Rattus norvegicus: one gene and its partners. The protein of the gene in region 2 interacts with the protein of the main gene of each other region in a pairwise test. Links are inferred from orthologs where the notes say so. Each region holds a gene or a part of one and is shown on either strand. Other genes may lie near its edges.

Region 1 (3,949 bases), on a different chromosome or scaffold from region 2:
ATTTTGGCAACACTTCTGTTCTTTGAAGCACAGAAAACAGCAACTGTTAGTGGGTGTGGGCTCCTCCACAGTCACTAGAGACCAGTACCTGGCTGAATAAAGGTGTCTCTCCAGCACACCATCGCTCACGCTTAACAGCAGGCCCACCTCACAACCAAACAGGAACTCTGGCGGAACGCACACCATGTTCACTGAGGATGACCCACAGTAGCTCCAAGAGGGGAAGCCCTCATCCCAAGCACACCCCAATCTTCCCCGGCAGGGTACGCAGACCACAGCAGAGAGCACTGCACGAGGGTTCCTTCCTGTCATCTCATCTGTGAGTCCCAGCTATGGCCACCCAAGAACTCTATCACCTCTAGCTGCTTCTCCCCAAAGGCACCTTCCTCCCATCCTTTCTGCAGCTCCCTCTCGCCATCTCTCCCTCTGTAAGAAAGCCTTGGAGAGACTTGAAGTGCCCAAGTGGGGTGATACCCAGGGGGATTCCAATTACTCAGAGGAGAAGGGGTGGGGAAGGGATTATGGGTAGGGGTGACAGGGAGGGTGGATTTAAAGAAAAATTTTAATTTAAAAAAGGAAAGAAAGAAAAAAAGCCTTTCTTTTCCTGGTCTAGTGAACAGGCCTTCCAGGACCTTCCACAACTGGGTTCAGAATCTTCATGGGTCTGGCAGGGAAGATACCACTACCAATTCTCAGACAAGCTCTTCTAAAGAGGGCATTGCAGCAGCCCTAGCAGAGGACAGTGGCCTAGGAAGACCCAGGCGTGAGCGCTGCTGAAAGGGCCTGGGGTAGACGCTGAGTAGAAGGCTCTGTCATTCTGAGCTGTGGAAGGAAGCCCCAAGGTGACAGCACATGCCAGCCCCTGTGCTTCCAGGGGTTCCAAATTCTTCATAATGATAGAGAAAACTCAGCTAATGCTATTTAAAATGTATCTAGATGTATTTATTTCATTTACATACAACAATGTTTTGCCTGTCTGTATGTCGGTGCACCACATGTGTGTCTGGTGCCCATTGAGGTCAGACCTCCTGAAACTGGAGTTGTGAGATGCCACATGGGTGCCGGAAACTGAACCTGGGTGCTCAAGAGCAACAAGTGCTGTTGACTGCCCAGCCATCTCTCCAGCACATGAACGCTATTTTCAAATAAATAATCCAAGTTTCCCAACAGTGTCATTCGGAAGAGACACTGTAAAGAGTTCATAAGCAGTGCTGCGCAGATGGGCCAGAGATAATTCCAGAGCAGCACGTATTCAGGAAAGCGACTCATAGTCACCAGACAAGGCCTCCGGGCAAGAGGACAAGGAGACAAACACCCCAGAAACAGCATCTGCAAAGGAACAGTCCAGCCATGAGAATGGTATCCTGCTTCTTGTCAGAGGCTGATGTCAATACCCTATCTATGATCCTTGCTGGGTGGGCTACAAAAATTCACTGAGCCTCTCTGGGTCCTTAAAACAGAGACCACACTCCGGTAGGCAATCTTCAAGTATTTTTAATAAACAAGACAACCAAGAGACCAAACACAGAGAAGACACATAACAGATGCTCAATAAGGAGAACCAAAACGTTCTGCCCTGTGTTGAAACTAGGGCTGCAAAAGTTACAGCCATTGCTTGTTGGTTCACAGCTAATACAAATCCAAATATCCCCAAGTCCACCTATGAAACGGCAACTTCCAAACATTAGTGCTGCCGAACACCTTTTCAGGTTCTGCCTTCTTTACAGAGTTTCCAGGCTAACTGGGTATCCCCACCGTGACAACCCCCAACACAGGCCCTGGACCACTGCCTACCTCACCTAGCAGCCAAGAATCCGCCCTCTCATACAAGGAATCCCTGCTTGACGGCTAATTAAGCTCTGGGCCCCATATGCACAACAGTAATTGACTCTCGGGAGTATCTAACTCCCAGAATATGCAAGCTGGGGGGCGGGGAGAAGAATTGGGAGGCGACTCCCCAAGATTTCCAGGAACACACAAAGAGATGAGGTTTGCATCAAGATCGCATCCACCTTCTCCCCCAAACCCTATGGCTCTCCACTTGCCTTGCTTGCAGAGCGAGGAAGAAATATCGGAGGACAACTTGGCTGCTCCCTGAAACATCGCTCCAACACACCCTAGCCTGCTGTCCTTTGAAGCCACCGAAGTGAACACTTGTGGTTAAACTCGAGGCTCATTAGGAGTGACACATTTTATAACTGGGCTGGCGATCACCTCTAGAGCGCGCCTGTCCTTCTGCATGCGGTCGGGGCCCGGCCTTCTAAGGGTCCCGGACTCCAGCCATTGTGGGAGGTTCCAGGGAACAAGGCTACCGGGACCTCCACTAGCTCCCCCAGAATCCCGCTAGCATCACGGGTCCCCCCGGCGCCAGGCAGGCCCTGCTCAAAGATGGCCCTCGCGGCGTCACTGCCAGGCTGGGGCCCGGACAGGGGGTCGAGCACATGAAGCCAAGGAGGCGCGCCGCCCGCCCGCCCGCCCGACCGCCTCACCTGCTTTCTCGATCTTGCCGGACATTTCCGGGCTGCGCCGGAGGCCGAGGCCGCTGCTCAACGGGCCCCGGCCGGGCCGCTGCGGGGTAAGAGGCCGGCGCGCCCGCCGCTCTCCTGGACCGGTGCTCGCCGCGACTCACACTCGCGCCGTCATGGCGGGCTCCGCGCGGCCGCGGCCGGTGCGCTCGCCGCTCCGCGCTCCAGCCCGCACCGGGCCTGCCGCTTGGCGCTCCACCTCCCGCGCAGCCGCCGCTCCGGGGCCGCGAGCCGCCGGCCGCAGCGCCGCGCCGCCGCCCGCCCGCCGGCCTGGGCCCCGAGGCCACGGCGCCACCTGCCGGAAGCCCGCCGCGCCGCCCGCGCCACAGCGCCCTCTGCCGACCCGGAGCCGAGCTAAGCCTGGCGCAAGGCGCAGCGCCCCCTGCCGGCCTGGAGTCCTCCGTGCCACAGCTCGGCACGGACCCCACCCCTTTCTTGAGAGAGAGAGAGAGAGAGAGAGAGAGAGAGAGAGAGAGAGAGAGAGAGAGAGAGAGAGAGAGAGAGAGAGAGAGAGAGAGAGAGAGAGAGAGAGAGAGAGAGAGAGAGAGAGAGAGAGAGAGAGAGAGAGAGAGAGAGAGAGAGAGAGAGAGAGAGAGATCAAGCCTACGGACAGAGACAACTCAGAACTTCCGCATGCCCTCCCAGGAAAGATCAGAACCCTCGGTAACCCAGACTTTTCCATCTCAAGTCGTGGGCTAACTCCCCATGTCTATTACCCAAGTTCAGCATCCTCCTTAGCCCAAGACTCCTCTAATTGACCCTAAACTAGTCTCAACAACTTCCTTACTAAAAACACAAGAAGCCTGGACAAGGTTCGGGACTGACACCCACCTTCACTCCCCCGACCTCATACACACTATGTAAGACTCAGGGGCCAGTGAAAAGCAGAACCTTTTGGCCAGATGTGGGCTCTGATCTTCCAAGCCAAAGCTTAGGCCCAAACCTGGAGGGACACAGCAACTTTGGCTTGCTTTGCTCAAGCAGTCCTCCAATGGAACATACAGCCTAGAGAGCAGTCTTTTTAAGTATACTAATGGGTTCGTTTACAGTTATTTTGGGGAATTCAAAGAACCTTTGCTATGCACTATGTCATACATATCCTACCAAGACTAACACAATGGATTCTTCCCTTCAAACAAGCTCACAGCTGGCTTGGAGAGTCAAACATTTTTAGTAAGCAACACGAGAGGGTGTTCAGACACAGGGAAAGCTACTCCCTGTTCATTGATTTTAGCTAAAATGGAATTCACATCAACAATGTGCGTGTGTGCATGTGCGGACACACACACACACACACACACACACACACACACACACACACACAGAGAGAGAGAGAGAGAGAGAGCTAGGCTAGGGACTGACCATCTGAGCTCAGCAAGTGAAGGCAGCCGCTGCCAAGCTTGACCAGACTTAAATGGCTGAGG
Region 2 (3,511 bases):
CTAGGATTTGGCCTACCTAAATTCAAGTGATGGAAGACCATTTAGAACACACACACACACACACACACACACACACACACACACACACACGGGGAGGGGGGAGAATAATAAGCCATTATAAAGTAATTGGAAAACTAAGATGAAGAAAAATTCACCACAGTCATGCCAGAGACAGGATCTTTGTGTGAAAGCTTAGTAAACAGATCTTTAAAATCTACAGGAAACAAAACCTACAGCAACCAGAGCATATGACTCGCAGATATAGTACCAATGCTCATATATTTTGAGCCTGTGTCTGGGAAACTCAAAACAGGAGCATAGAGTTCCTAGTAATGCTATGATCATAAAATTAATTGAGATAAACAATACAAAGGTGGGGGGAGTGGAGACAAAGATCGGGGTACCTGTCTAGGAAGTAGAACAAACTGGTCCTCTCATTGTCCCACCAAGGACAGCATGGCAGATGGGAAAGGACAAAGCTGGTGTCAAACAAACAAACTGCGGTCACCTCAATGGGACATGGTCTGTCTAATGAGCATTTGTGTGTGTGTGCGTGTGCGTGTGCGTGTGCGTGTGCGTGTGTGTGTGTGTGTGTGTGTGTGTGTGTGTGTGTGTGTGATACATATCCAAGGTCTCCTTATATATTGTAGACATAGACCTGTCAGAGGAAACTTGCGCTCAGCGTGGGATTTTCAGTCAGCGAGCACACATGGTGGCGTTTCCTCCCACAGCCGTTTTGCACCTGAGACCTAGTGGCTGTGTTTCTCCACATTACGGTCAGAAAGTCATTAAGCCAGGGCTTTGTTCCCCTTCTACTTGAAACCTGCCTGTCTTTCTCCTCAAAGTAAAGTCAACCAAACTGAGAGGAACCTTTTCAGCAGCCCACATTCATCAGGACTTGAGGATGTTTGTGGAAAGTTAGGAGCACCTGCTGTGGCCCTCAACACCTTCTTTTCATTGCCTCTTCCTCAGGAAACTACGTGGTGACAGATCACGGCTCGTGTGTCCGGGCCTGTGGGCCAGACTACTATGAAGTAGAAGAAGATGGAGTCAGCAAGTGTAAAAAATGTGATGGGCCCTGCCGCAAAGGTAAGGAGCCTTACGGGTGTGCAGTAGGTTTTTTTCTTGACCTTTGTGCCGAACTCTTATAGCCACCTCCAAACAAACACACCTCAGCCTTTTAACTTAGAAAATAAAAATGCGTTTTGTCTGTAAAGTAGAAGATAAACTTGTAAAGCCAAATTACATGGTGGAGGGTGTGGGGGAGTTCTCTTGAGCCAGGTACGAGGCGCCACCTGCAGCCCAGGGGAGTGATCTGTCGTAGACAGAAAGGGGAGGAGCCGATGTCTTTGTGAGTGGCTATAGATCCAGTCCAGGTAGAAAACGACAGAAAAAATTCAAATCTGACAAGAGGTCTGGGACAAGGACAATCCCAAGCCCCACTCCAGTGACTGATGAAAACAGGCCTGTCACAGGAGTTTTGGTACCTTGAGGGTTCACTCAGAGTCACTGGGGTGGTGGCAGGGTTCATGCTTCTGCTTGTGCAGACCCAGCCTTCTTAATTCGACAAATGTAAATGGAACACCCACCTCTCTTAACAGTTTGCAATGGCATAGGCATTGGTGAATTTAAAGACACACTCTCCATAAATGCTACAAACATCAAACACTTCAAGTACTGCACTGCCATCAGTGGGGACCTCCACATCCTGCCAGTGGCCTTTAAGGGGTGAGTAACAGCCGAGCCATCTGGACGGAGAGCTATGAAGTCTACTTTTTTTTTCCGGAGCTGGGGACCGAACCCAGGGCCTTGTGCTTGCTAGGCAAGCACTCTACCGCTGAGCTAAATCCCCAACCCCTGAAGTCTACTTCTTTAAGCCATGGAGAATGGCCAATAATCACGTTGCTGTTTCTTTCAGGGATTCTTTCACCCGCACTCCTCCTCTAGACCCACGGGAACTAGAAATTCTCAAAACTGTGAAGGAAATAACAGGTTTGTACTGGAATATTCAGGGGCATATATGGAAAATTCAATTTTATAGAGACTCTCAGACATTTCCCCTTCTTCCCTGACATGAGAATGTAGTGTCTGAAGCTTAACCATTGCGATTAATTTTTTTGAGACACTTTTCAAAGCCAGTTTCCCTTGATGCAAGTTGAAACCACTTTAAGCCGAGGCTGCTGCACCCATGATGGACATGATATGGACATGCACAATGGTTCTTTCTTGCTCAAACAGTCCATCATCCTTACAGACGCCAAACGCCAGAGAGAAGATGGAGAGAAGGCTACTAGGTTGAACGCTAGTGGGCAATGCAGGCTCTCGAGTTTCACAAACTAGATTTCAAATGATTGCCCACCAGGGAGTCTTGGATCTATGACCGCCACTGGCACAACATTTTCCTCATCCTTGAAAGGGAGATAACTTGATCTCCAAGACAAGATTGATATGAAGATCAGAGTTAAATTGAAAAAAATATTTAAAAGGAGAACACTGTAACAGGAGATTGAAAAACAGTCAGGGAAGGATCCGGTGTATAATCTGATGTCCTTCAAGGACATCAGAGCCAGAGCACTTGGTCAACCTGTCAGGTGGGAGTTGGCCTGCACATTGAGGGAAGGGCAGCCAGGGATTCAAGGCTGCATAGAAGGGGCAGGATTCTTTCTTTTTTGCCCACCTGACTGTGTCAGGACATACACTATCATCCTTAGTGGTAGGGACAGGAAGAATCCACTGCCACGGTTCATACAGCAGCCTTATCCGAGTCCTAGAAGTATCTAACAGTGTGTCTAAGCCTTTCTTCTTCCTTCTAGGGTTTTTGCTGATTCAGGCTTGGCCTGAAAACTGGACTGACCTCCATGCTTTTGAGAACCTAGAAATAATTCGTGGCAGAACAAAGCAACAGTAAGTTGGCCATAACAAAAGCCTAGTCATTTTTTTTTCCAAATGTGTCTTAAAGAAGAGGTACAAAAGTCACACAAAGACCATCTTCCGCTCGGCTTCCCCTAATGTGAACGACCTACGTGAGTAGATATGAAATTTAAGATCAGGAATCTGACACTGTGCAGTGCTCTTCCCTCAAACGTGTACTTCATTCTGGGCTCGCCAGATTTTCCATGAATGCATCATTCTTTCTCTGCCCTCTCCAGGACCCCAGACTGCATTGGTGTCTGAGGTCTTCCTGGTCCCCTTCAAACTTCCCCAGCTCCTGTCTTTGCTGGTTTTCATTGTCTCGACACTGGGGAAATATGACTGGGCGTTTTATAGGGCGCCTCCCTGTTTGTGTTTGGCTGATATTTGAGAGTGGTGCAGGTGAAAACACACAACATGTCGTCTTAATGAGACAGAAAGCGATAGGAGAGGGATGGTGAGCTTTCACAGAGTAGAAGAAATCCTGTGATTTGTGGTGAGGAAAAGAAATTTGGAAATCTGTAGCTCAAATCTGCCTTGGAAACTTTCTGATTGTGATAGCTTTTTCTGAAGTGCACCACCACTAACACCATTCATTCCA
Region 3 (3,991 bases), on a different chromosome or scaffold from region 2:
TAGCCTCAGACTTACAGAGACCCAACTGCTTCTGCTTCCTGTATGCCAGGATTAAAGACACATGCCTCCATGCCTGACTGCTGCACCTTTGAAGCATGACTATTGAGTGATCGTTATTAAATCATTGTGCGTGGTGTGTGAGTGTGTGTGTGTGTGTGTGTGTGTGTGTGTGTGTCACAGCGCCTTTATTCAGATGGAGAAACTGGGTTCTGGTGCACTGAACAGTTGCCTTATGTCCAGAACGTTTGTGGCTAAATGAAGATGGGTATTCACTCTCAGATCCTAAGTCTGGAGAATCCGTGCTCTTGGAACCAAAGAGAAACTCCACAGGAGAAGTGGGAGGTAACCCCTCCCCAGATTGTTCATGCTTTGGGGATCTGGATGTGATCATCTGGTAAGAGGGAGGCTTGTGTGGGGTGTGGAAGTTATAGTCTGAGATGAGTTTAGATTGTACAATTCCAGTGCATCCTGAGAAAGCCTGGAGACTTCTTGGAGAAGTCACACTTGGCCATTCAGAAATTAAGAAGCTGGTTCATGGGGCTGGGGATTTAGCTCAGTGGTAGAGCGCTTACCTAGGAAGCGCAAGGCCCTGGGTTCGATCCCCAGCTCCGAAAAAAAGAACCAAAAAAAAAAAAAAAAAAAGAAGCTGGTTCATCAGGGCACCCCACCTGACTCTCTGAGCCCCTTGTGCTCTGTGACTTCCAGCCTTAACACTCTAGTGTCTCGTTCTTCCTTCAAAACTAATTCCAGTGTGAGGTCCTCTAACTTGTCCAACATAACTTTGATCCTTTCTCTCACTTCACAGTTGGCTCCATTTCTGCCCTTTCTCTCCGCACAGAACTCCGTAGTAAGCCCATGCTTCAGCTTGGAGGTTTTCCATACCTAGAACAGAGCCAAGAGCATAGGTGGCCCCAAGAAACAGCAGTTCGGTTGAATGAACACAGCCTCAACTTTCTGGTGCCCACCACTATCTTTGTCCAGGTTCTTCAGTCTGTACCACACAGAGAAAGTTCAGCGTTGGCCTCTGGGTTCTGGACTCTGATTCCAGATCTATTCACATCCTTTAAGACAGAGTCACTGTCCTAGTCCCATTAGCACTGTCAGGATAATGACTTCTCTAGCTGGAGTCAGCAAATCTTAAGTTTCTTTTGGCTCCATCAGCACCCAGTGGAGAACAGCTCCGACAAGGTCTGATCAGCACCCTGGAGTGGACAGCTCCCTCGGCCACCGGTTAGGCGGTCTAACGGTTTAGGAGGTCTAGCGGGTTAGTAGGTCTGGTGTGTTAGGAGGTCTGAGGGGCTTCCTGACCAACTCTGCTTTTCGAATTTACCGGGCATGAATGCTGTTCCTAAGTCCTCGCCCATCACCCCACATGAGCCGTCCACCTCCCAGAAGCACTGCACACCGCCGTAACTAGAGGCGCACAGACCCGGGCCGCCTTGGTCCTGGCTCCTGGGTCTACCGCACCCATTCCCCCCCGCATCTCTTCGGCTCCTGCAGAAACCTTTGGTCTACCAGCGCCTCTGCTTCCACCTATCCCTTCTCGCCAGTTCGTCGCCTAGAACCACGCAAGCCGCACGCCAGCTTTCCCGACCAGAATCTCACGACCACCACTACCACCGCTACCACCACCACCTCGCATCCCGCATCCCACCCCCCCCCTCGGCTCGACCCCCATTCCTCCGCCCCCACCTCAGGCCCCGCCCTGCGCCACTCCCTCCCCTCACCCCTGCGGCGCGGCTCGCTGCCGCGGTGTCCTGGCAGGGCGCTGAGGTGTGTCGCCGACGGGTGTCGCAGGGCGTGTCACGAGGTGAGTGGGGAGACAGAGGCCGCGAGCCTGAGCACCAAGGGCGCGCGGTGCTCCTCACCCCTCCCCCTCACTGCCGGCCCGCGGTTCCTGGGAAGATGGCGGATCGCGCGGAGATGTTTTCTCTCTCAACCTTTCACTCGCTGTCGCCTCCGGGCTGCAGGTACGCATTCATTCGGCGGGGCTCATCTTCACGTAGGTCTCTTCGGCCTGCCACCCCACCCCATCGACTTCAACTACCCAGGCCGGGGCGCCTCCTTGGTTTGCAGGCCTCTGCCTGATGCTCCCATCCCCCATCCTAGGCTCCGGGTCCCTCCGTGTTTGCTCCTTGTCGCGCAGACCCGATGGCACCCATTCCTCCCCCACCCCTCCCCAAACACAGACACATATTCACTTTTCCAGTTGGGCCACGGAACCGCACCCAGTCAAGGCCGATGACCTAGCAAGGGTGGGGTCTCTGGATTGACCCTTTGAGGGATTTTAGGCAGGGTGCTCAACACCTACTCCGTTCCTGGCAGTGTCCTTTTGGCCTTGTTGTGTCTCCTTCCATAGAGGCTAGGGCCTGTCCCCCAGCCCCCCAGGACGGCAGAGAGTGAAATCAAGCTTGAAGCTCTGGGGGTGAGATGGAGAAGTTGGGATTGGAGGGGGCTGGATCTTTGGATGTAGGCCTGTTCTGTAGGAGTGGGTGGGGACACAAGCAGAACAGCTGGACCCCTCCCTCTCCTGTTGTAGCCATTACCCCTCCCCCTGTGGGTTCAAGGTGTCTCCCCTGAGGCTGAAGCTGTGGCCCACAGGGGCTGGGAGCTGAGCTGAAAAGGAGTGGGAGGGGTTTGTGGACCGATGCCTCCTCTGGGCTCATTTGCAGTGGTGGAGGAGGGGACCCAGGGGAGAGCAGTGCCTGGGGTCAAAATGACGTGGCTTTAGCATATGAGTGGAGGGCCCTGGGAGCTGGACATTTCCCACCAATGTCCTCAGGATCAGCTGTCAGGTCAGGAGCCCAGGACAGGTGACTCTCTGACCCCCGCACCCTCTTCAGGCCTCCCCAGGACATAAGCCTGGAAGAATTTGATGATGAAGACCTATCTGAGATCACGGACGACTGTGGCCTGGGCCTTAGCTACGACTCCGACCACTGCGAGAAGGTGGGGAAAAGGGCTGGGTGTGTAGGGTCTGAGTAAGGAGAGGTTCACAGAGGCTCAGTTTCCCCAGCATTCTTGTGGGTTTAGGAGTCTCGAGTTCAGCTTCCATGTAAAAATTCCTCTGCTCTTGCTGATAGCCCCTTGGTGTTGGTCTTCTTTCCTAACACACTGTTGGCCAATCAGAGGGCCTTCTCTGGCAGATCTCCCCAGCGTAGTGCCACAAGAGGAGGTGTGGGCCTTTGCTTGGGTGCTTCTGTCCTAAGATCACTCACCACGAAGATCTAAACCCTCCAGTTTCTACCAAAACTCAACCTCTGTGGCCTTGTCCAATCTCATCTCCCTCTAAAATCTTTCCCCTTCAAACCCTCCGCTAATACATGTTTCCATTTCCATTCGTTTTGAGGAAATGCCACGTGTCAAGTGCGGGGGGGCTTACAGGCATTGAGAGCACAGCCAGATAGCAGCCTCACCCCACCCCAACTTTCAGTTTAGCGGGCGCGGAGGGGCAAATAGAAGTGAGAGATGGTGCTCACCCATATGCCAGTGGCCCCGTTCCAACTGGACACAAAGCATGATGGGGGGAGAGCGGGGGAGGGAACCCAATCAGACTGAGGGAATCAGGAAGACTTTCCAGAGGAAATGTCAGTCTTAGAACCCCCAAGGTTAGCAGGAATCAGGCAGATGGGGTTAGGTAGGAGGATGTGGAAGAGAGGAATTGCTGGCAGAAGGTCTGGCTATGCCAAAGACCCTGAGTTTGGTACAGATTTGGTGAATCATCAGAGTGAAGGCTTTCCACACTGATGTATTCATCTGTTACTTACTGATGATGTTCCCACGGGTGAGTACCCCAGTGTACAGTGTGGACATGACCTGTTCTGGTGGTCTTACAGTTTGATGCGTAAGCCACAAACTGTGAATTAAAAAAATGCGAGGAAGGCAGCAGACCAACAGGGTAGATATGATGGGGTTTGGGGAGGGGGCGAATAAAGCTGGGAGGTTAGTTGAGGTTATTGTGAAATGTCTCAGACTCTGGGCCCTTCCCAGA

Evidence for each region.
Region 1: the proteins of Egfr (region 2) and Rapgef1 interact in a protein complementation assay, tested with the Homo sapiens proteins (3 studies listed by BioGRID and IntAct, with this or other methods). The link is inferred for Rattus norvegicus from reciprocal best matches to the Homo sapiens genes EGFR and RAPGEF1.
Region 3: the proteins of Egfr (region 2) and Mapk8ip2 interact in binary tests that used the Homo sapiens proteins (3 or more experiments, as listed by UniProt). The link is inferred for Rattus norvegicus from reciprocal best matches to the Homo sapiens genes EGFR and MAPK8IP2.

Annotation. Positions count from the first base shown.
Region 1 is NC_086021.1:33,295,090-33,299,038, reverse strand, and holds the start of Rapgef1 (Rap guanine nucleotide exchange factor 1), read right to left. Parts: upstream 2,810-3,949; 5' UTR 2,515-2,809; coding exon 2,490-2,514; intron 1-2,489. UniProt on the Homo sapiens protein: Guanine nucleotide-releasing protein that binds to SH3 domain of CRK and GRB2/ASH. Transduces signals from CRK to activate RAS. Involved in cell branching and adhesion mediated by BCAR1-CRK-RAPGEF1 signaling and activation of RAP1.
Region 2 is NC_086032.1:95,500,620-95,504,130, forward strand, and holds part of Egfr (epidermal growth factor receptor isoform 1 precursor), read left to right. Parts: intron 1-972; coding exon 973-1,089; intron 1,090-1,601; coding exon 1,602-1,728; intron 1,729-1,918; coding exon 1,919-1,992; intron 1,993-2,813; coding exon 2,814-2,904; intron 2,905-3,511. UniProt on the Homo sapiens protein: Receptor tyrosine kinase binding ligands of the EGF family and activating several signaling cascades to convert extracellular cues into appropriate cellular responses.
Region 3 is NC_086025.1:122,405,168-122,409,158, forward strand, and holds the start of Mapk8ip2 (C-Jun-amino-terminal kinase-interacting protein 2), read left to right. Parts: upstream 1-1,182; 5' UTR 1,183-1,905; coding exon 1,906-1,970; intron 1,971-2,843; coding exon 2,844-2,949; intron 2,950-3,991. UniProt on the Homo sapiens protein: The JNK-interacting protein (JIP) group of scaffold proteins selectively mediates JNK signaling by aggregating specific components of the MAPK cascade to form a functional JNK signaling module.